Linked DNA regions of Tribolium castaneum. The protein of the gene in region 2 binds, or shares a complex with, the protein of the main gene of each other region. Links are inferred from orthologs where the notes say so. Each region holds a gene or a part of one and is shown on either strand. Other genes may lie near its edges. The genes, in order: Mettl3 and nito.

Region 1 (3,922 bases), about 1.5 Mb from region 2:
GGGAAAAATGCATTCCTGAAAAGAGAAAATTCGAAATTACATTTTGAAGGTCGCCAACCAATTAGCGTTACGTAAAATGGGTCAAATTTCCATTCAGTGTTGGCCGTCACATCGCCCCATCGCAAAAACGATGTCAACCATGTTACGCGCAATAAAAATAATAGAGAAAAGGGAAACCCACCTACAATAAACTCCCACTGTTCACAGCCCAAAGAACGTTCAGGAACAACGTTGAGCGTCAGCATTTTCCGCAATCAATAAAAACCAGTCTTTAATCAACAATAATACACAACAAGCAACAAATCAAAACTGTTTATTCTTTTTCTCTTAAATCGAACGATCCTTTGTCTAAAAACTCGTAAAACTTCCAAGCGCCATCTTGTCAAACCTGACATCTGTCAAAATCAGCTGATGCCCCCCCAACTCCACGCGATTAAAGACACTAAACCACCAGTCAATAAGGCAAAAAGTCGCCACCACTCCACCAAAACATAAACAAATTAATGGGTCGTGTCACCGGGGGGCCCCATACAGTTCCCCGTGGGGTAGCGTTTCTTGAAATTCTCGATCAGTTCTGCGTCGACCAGCTTGATCCCGTCCACTTGGTTCCCCAAAGTGATCCAGTTGGGCTGGATGTTGTGGGGGCGCCCGAACAGCTCGATTTTGCGCGTCCCGGGCGAGAGTCGCTCGATCATTCCGTAGATTTCGTCCGGTTTGTGGCTCGTGGCGCGCACTTCGGCCACGATCACGTCCGAGTCTAGTCCCCGGTTGAGGTTCTGGGGGTTGCCCTTCATGCCCACGAGACAGTGCTCCTTGCCGTGGTTCAGCCAATGGCCGGTGCGCCCCGTCCTGATAATGCGCTGCAATTGGTTCGTCTTCACCCAGATTATTTCGTCAACGCGCTCGTAGCCCCACAATTGGAGGCACTCGCGGCCCAGCTCCATGGCACGGCCTGTCACCCACAGGAAAATCAGGCCCTCGTCTTGCAGCTGGGGGATCCCCAGCTGACGCATCTCGTCGTCGGACATGGTCCCATAGGGCAGCTCCATGTGGATGTCCCAGGGGGGGTCCGCCATTATCACGGCGAATTTTCCTAAATTCAACCATTAATATTTTCGGAAATGTCGGGGAAAAACAGTTATTTAAAAAAATCATCGTTCTCCGACAGTTTTCGAGATAATTGCAAAAAAAATAAAAAAAAATAAAATGAAAAAAATTCGTAACTTAAAAACTACTGGGTATTTGGCGATTTTCTCGTCACCAATCGATTCCCCGGATTATTTTACATTGATTTCCATCAAAATTGTTCCACTTTTTTGAATAGTTTTGCCATAATTGAGCTGAAAAATGAAGGTAGCCATTTCAAGAGGAATTTTTAATTCTACAACAAAAAAATTTATAACTCAAAAGCTAAAAGTCGTAGAGCAAAACGGTTTGTTCCAGTGAATTCTGGGCTCATTTGACGTATTATGGCAGCTTTTCACAAGATTTTAAATTTTGGAAGTCACGACCAAACGCAAATATTATTAAGACCGACAAACAAACCTAAGACAGTCATGTCGAGATAGCGCAGGTCGCACTGCACCCACTGCGGGGGGTACAAGGTAGTGCTTTCTTTTGGGGCCACTGAGACGGCGGTGGCGGCCGGGGCTACGCCCTCCGTTTGCCCACAGCGATCGACTTCATAGTGGACGTATTTACAAGTGTCCATGTGGAAACAAGTGTTAAGGAAGGAACAATCCCCTAAAGCTTCGTCAGTGTGTTTTTGTATGATTTTTTTAAAATGCAATTTTTTGCAGTCTGTGATTCCGTTTCGTTCGCAGTCGGCGCGAGTCCCATGGGGGCAAAACTCCATCAGTTGTTTGCCCCCTTGAGACCTGAAGCGCTCGGCCAGCGAACGCTCTTTGGCCGTTGGTTTACTCAACAGATCTAGAATTTCTTCGCCCAGTTTTTTACTCTCTTTTTCTTTCGTTGAGGGCATTGATAGTAAAGACTAGGGAAATTAATTAATTAAAAGGACAGAATCAATCAGTTAATTACCATGATGTCAGCTTTTGGTTCCTTCTTCTCTTTTTTCCTCTTCTCTTCGTCTTCGTTTTTCTCCGAGTCGTTTCGCTTCCGCTTCAGGGATTCCCTCACCCGTTCAGGCAAAAACTCCGCAATCATTGCGTTAACTTTAGTCACATCGATAAAAGTCACTTCGACCACGTTCTTCCCCTCTTTGACTAAATCCTTGATAGTGATCAACTTCTGAGTTGAGAATTTTTGCAACAAATTGCAAACTTCCTTATGTGAGGCATGTCGCTTCAAAGTCAATTTCAACGAATCGACCAATTCCGTCGAAGTTGTGGGGATCTGAAGAGTGACTTCGCTCAGCGCCTTCAACAACTCTTTCTCCAGCTCTGGGTCGATTTTCACCAAATCGATTTCACCCTCCTCTGGTCTTTTAACATCTTCGCCCCCAACACCACCCGCATGGGGGCTGTCGGACAGGTGCACAGGTGACGAGTTGAGACTCGAACCAAGGATGTCCTGCCGCTCCTTCTTGCGCTTTTCCAGGCGTTCGCGCAGGATGTTCCGCTTGCTTTTGATAGCTTGGATCTCTTCCCAAGCGTCCGACATTTCAAAAGACTATTTTCCGCCAAAAAAACACAACTAACACATGTTTGAGGTTACGGCTAACGCTAACTAACACAACCTCAACTCTTTGGTTATGTTCTTTCGGTTTCGTAAAATTGGGGCAAAATGAGTAAAAGACAGGCGTTGCAGTTGTATAAAGCTCTGATTCGCGAGTCGAAGAAGTTTCCGGCTTATAACTTCAGGTAAGGGCGTTTTTGCAAACGATTTTTTCATTGGGGGTTGTAGACACTATGCCTTAAGGAAGATAAGGGACAGTTTTCGGGAAAATAGACAATTGACTGACCAGGACGTGATTAGGCAAAAAATGGATGAAGGAGTTCGTAATTTAGATGTAATTAAAAGACAGGTATTCACAATTAATTCGTTTAGGGGTTAATTGACGTAATTATCTCCAGGTGGTCGTAAGTCAATTATATAGCACCGAAAAACTGGTTATTGAGCACGTGAGGGCCCAAAAAAACTAATTTGTAAGGTTTGTAATGGTTAGAAATAATAAGAGTAATTGTTTGATTTTTTATTTCTTCTTATCAATTGACTTGACTAAGCCTTTTCCCACAATATAAAAGTCTTCAATCAACGCATCCACGTTCAGCTCCAATTTTCCATTCACAAGTTTCCTCCCGCTTGCATAAGACACCTAAAAATAAATGTAATAAATCAAAAAACATCTAAAAATCTCACCTTGAAGTCTCGACTTTCCAAAGCTTTAGGTATCCACAAAACCCCGATAAAATTACCTCCGTACGTATCGTGGAAAAAATTGGCAAAATCGCCGTAATGTTTGCGCAGTTCGGCCAAATACAACTGAACTGGGTTAAAGCCAGTGACTGGAATTTTCGTGCTTTCGTTTCTGTTAAATTCCTCCAAAACAATTTGCCCCTCGGACTCGTCCCCAGTGACTTGTTCGTGTCGTACGGGGTTCAAAAGGGGGCGCAAGTGAATAATAACATCGTACCCCTCAAGATTCGGAATAAACAAGCTTTTAATTGAACCAAAACTCTCTCCTTTGATGATTTGCCCAAAACAATTCAAAGACTCACTTGCCAGTTGTTTGACCCTCCGCAAGACCAACTTCGAGGGCCCCCTTTTGGTAAAAACAGACTCACAGCCGTCGTACGGCATTGCGATAAATAAATCGGGCAAAGCCTCGCGATTTTGGAGGAGTTTCGAGTCGATTTCTGCAAGTGTCTCACTTGCAATCTCATTGTTGAAATTGACCACAACCGCCTGAATATCGCACTGAAGCTCGCTAACAAATTTCAAAAATCGCAAAAAGCCAACT
Region 2 (3,922 bases):
TTCTTTTACACACATCTAAATGCAATAAACGGGTGTGTAAATGGCAAATATGACATGACGCATTAATTTTTATATTTAATGCTTGATTCAGCAATTGAAACATTTTATACAAAATATAAATAATTTCAGACAATCGCATTTATGGTTTGTATGAAATTTCTGTTTATAATTTTATTTGTTTGAACAGGTTTTATTAAAAATTAGCCACTTTTTTTCTTTCTGTGGTAATTAGATTTAGGTGCACTAGTTTTTCAGTAAATATCCGTGCACAAATAGGAAATTAACTTGAAAATTACTTGTTGTTCTTGACCAAATAAACCAAATAATTGAACGGCTTACAGGTATTTGATTTATTGCAAAAGTCGAGTCAAAATGCAAAATTTATTATGGATAACACCTTACTGCGGTAAAATAAAATGCTTAAGTAGGAATTACTTCAAGCGCTGAAAAAGTCAGTCTTATTTATCTGTATTTTTATAAATGTGGGATTTTTACCGACAAGTCAAATATCGTAAATTTTAATTAATCATCACTCTGATGCAGCTATTTTTTTTTGAAGAATGTTACAATTCCTCCAAATTTATTCATTAGAAAATAATCCTAATTAAACAACGAATTTTTTGTCAATATTTTAATTGAATTTAATCCGTATTTATATAATCATTCAGATTTGGATACTTTTAGTAGTCACGGAACAAGAATACTTGAAATAAGTTTGGGGTGTGAATAAAATTTGACTGCACTAAGTTAAATTAAAATTTATTTGTCTTGACGAATGCTGGTCTCATTAGGTTGCATAAAATTATACATTAATGAGAAAATAGTTTTTGTTTTAGTTATGTCTGTATGTTTTTTTAAATAATAATATAATTTATTCGGAACAATTTATTAGGCCAGGAAGAGTTATGTCTGAGTTCTCAATAATTTAAATTTTGCAATGTAGATAACCAATAATACAGCCTTGCATTTGGCATCTGTCCGACACTCTCAAATAATAATGTATAAAATTATAAAACTTAGATTTTCTACCAGAAACGTAGATTTAGTAGTAAGTACTATTGTAACTAGCAATTCGTTTAAATTGAAACTTGGCCACATTGAATAAACCGTTTCAACTTGACCGGACTTCGCCAATTCCATCCCACGCCTGCGTACCACCACTTTGCCTTGTCACATCCGCCATATTGTCCACCATTCGCTTCCATTTCTGTGATGCCCCAACGCAGCACTCATCCACCTCAGTAAATGGTGATAAAACTCATTATTGTGCCCCTAAGTAAGCCCCCACACCCACACACACACACCCCGCTGTAAGTTTCCATTGCAGGCGTTAGTGTTTATGCTCGCCTCCAGCCGAGACAAAATAACAGTCCGCATCCAAAACATGAAACGCAGCAGCGACCGCGACACGCCCCCACGCAGCAAACGCTCCCGTTCAAGCATGGGCCGGTACGACGACAGCTCCGACGAACGCCTAACCCCCGAACGCGTCCGCCGTCGTGGAAGCCGCAATCGCTCGCCCAGCCCCCGCCCCAGGTATGTCAGCCCGCATCGCGATGAATATCTGCGCCCCCCTGAACGCGCCTACCCTTACAAAGTGCTCTGCGTCAGCGCCCTACACCCCAAAGCCAGCGATGAAGTGATCAAAGACACGCTCTATCGAGAGTACAAAAAATACGGCGATCTGAGCATTAGACTATCGCATGATGTTGATGAACGCGTAGCTTATGTGTGCTTCCGGAATCCGGAGGATGCACGTGATGCCAAACACGGGAAACCCCGGATTATTATTTATGATAAAGTTGCGATTGTTGAACCTGTGTATGAAGTGCCCAGGTCAAGTGATATTTATAGGAGTCGCCCCAGGTCTATTACACCAGAGTATGATCGGCATTATTATGCTAGGTCACCTGAACGGTTAAGGGTTGATCGGTACGATAGGGCTTACGGGCCCCCGCCAGGGGTCCCAGTACATAGAGATTATCGCAGGGAGGCTTTACCTGCTCCTCATGAGTATTTGGCAAGGCCTCCGATTCATCACCCGGCACATTTAACCCCAAGTCATGGATACGGCCCCCCACGACATACGGTCCCAAGGCCCCCCTTTGAAAAAACAGAGAATAAAAAAGACAAGTTTCCGAATTATTTGCACCACATTCAACCAGAAGATGACCCGTTAGCGACTCGTACGTTATTTGCCGGTAATTTAGAAATTAATATCACAGAAGAAGAGTTGCGTCGCATTTTCGGTCGTTACGGTGTTGTTGAAGATATAGATATCAAGAGACCACCACCTGGCACAGGCAATGCCTTTGCTTTCGTTCGGTTTCACACCCTTGATATGGCCCACCGTGCTAAAGTCGAATTATCAGGTCAATACATCGGAAAGTTCCAGTGTAAAATTGGTTACGGGAAAGCAACCCCAACTACACGTATCTGGGTTGGGGGGCTTGGCCCTTGGACTTCAGTCCCCCAACTAGAACGTGAGTTTGATCGTTTTGGGGCTATCAAGAAAATCGATTACGTCAAGGGCGACAATCAAGCCTATATTCTGTACGACAGTATCGATGCAGCACAAGCGGCTGTGAAGGAAATGAGAGGAGCCCCACTTGGGGGGCCTGACCGTCGCCTCAGGACTGACTTTGCGGACGTGACACCGGGAGTCGTCTACCGACCTAAACCCCCCTATCCTGGACATGAAGACAGTCTCGATTACCGCCGCCTTGACTACGATTACGACTACGACGACTACGCCACCCGGGGGTACAGGGGTCGTGCTGCCTACCCCGAACGCCGCGCCGGCAGCCGGGGCCCTTACCGCTACCCCGAGACAACTGAAGATGAATGGGGGCGCTCACGCCCCGAATACGAACGCCGCCGTTCCGTTGACCGCTCCAGGTCCAGGTCACCGAGACGTTCCCCTGATTCGGATTCGGATAATGGGTCTCGTAGAGCTGGGTTGCTCGCATCTAGTCGGACTCTCCCCGAAGTGGCACGGAAGTGTACGACAGTGTGGCAAGGTGCTTTGATTTTGAAGAATTCGCTGTTTCCGGCCAAGTTTCATTTGATTGATGGCGATACGGATATTGTGGAAGGGTTGATGAAGGACGAGGATGGAAAACATCAGCTGAGGATTACGCAAAGGTTGAGGTTGGATCAGCCAAAGTTGGAGGATGTGCAAAGGAGAATTTCGGGGGCGAGTTCGCATGCGATTTTCTTGGGGTTGGCGGGGTCGACGGCGTCGGTCACGAATGATGATAGTACGGTGCAGACGAGGCCGTTGAGGAATTTGGTGTCGTATTTGAAGCAGAAGGAAGCAGCTGGGGTTATTTCGTTGTTGAATAAGGAGACGGAAGCGACAGGGGTTTTGTATTCGTTTCCGCCGTGTGCGTTTTCGACAGAGTTGCTTAAACGTACGTGTCCGAATCTGTCGGAGGAGGCGATCAAGGAGGATCATTTGGTTATTGTTGTGGTACGTGGTGGTACTGCTTAATTTTTATGACTGTATAGTCGTTGACTATACTGTATTATTATTTTGTTTTTTTTTACTTATTTTATGAGGTAGAGCTCATTTTTTTTACCCCCCTCCAGGTCTACACTGGCTAATTTTGTTGACAGTTTAAACAAATTGTACATTTTTCAGGAAATTGGTGATCAACAACGATGTTGATTGTGTTGATGATGATGATGATGCTTTATCATTTAAGTGCTTACTGAATTTGTTTTGTGAACTTTGAAAATATTCTGTAACTTGATTTAGTGCTGAAGTGAATTTAGTTTAAGTGGTTGCAGTTCTTTCTCATAGTATCTGTCATTTGTATTAGTGGAACATTCTGTAAGGATTTATCTGTTGTTATGTGAAAGGACTGTAAAAGGAAACAATTAACTACAGTGTTGTAGTGTTCTGTGCAAATAGTTACTC

The links.
Region 1: nito (region 2) and Mettl3 share a complex: the UniProt entries of both Drosophila melanogaster proteins name them as parts of the WMM complex. The link is inferred for Tribolium castaneum from reciprocal best matches to the Drosophila melanogaster genes nito and Mettl3.

Annotation. Positions count from the first base shown.
Region 1 is NC_087396.1:23,067,390-23,071,311, reverse strand, and holds Mettl3 (N6-adenosine-methyltransferase catalytic subunit), read right to left. Parts: upstream 2,623-3,922; coding exon 2,041-2,622; intron 1,994-2,040; coding exon 1,546-1,993; intron 1,094-1,545; coding exon 501-1,093; 3' UTR 297-500; downstream 1-296. Other genes in the region: PHAF1 protein CG7083, read right to left, coding at 1-15, 182-245; protein bcn92, read left to right, coding at 2,746-2,822, 2,866-2,986, 3,036-3,104; Mat89Ba (nucleolar protein 6), read right to left, coding at 3,155-3,277, 3,322-3,922. UniProt on the Drosophila melanogaster protein: Catalytic component of the WMM complex, a complex that mediates N6-methyladenosine (m6A) methylation of mRNAs, a modification that plays a role in the efficiency of mRNA splicing and is required for sex determination.
Region 2 is NC_087396.1:24,540,519-24,544,440, forward strand, and holds the start of nito (RNA-binding protein spenito), read left to right. Parts: upstream 1-1,121; 5' UTR 1,122-1,276; intron 1,277-1,327; 5' UTR 1,328-1,339; coding exon 1,340-3,472; coding exon of another isoform or gene 3,473-3,493; exon of another isoform or gene 3,494-3,643; coding exon 3,644-3,670; 3' UTR 3,671-3,922. UniProt on the Drosophila melanogaster protein: RNA-binding protein that acts as an associated component of the WMM complex, a complex that mediates N6-methyladenosine (m6A) methylation of mRNAs. M6a modification plays a role in the efficiency of mRNA splicing and is required for sex determination.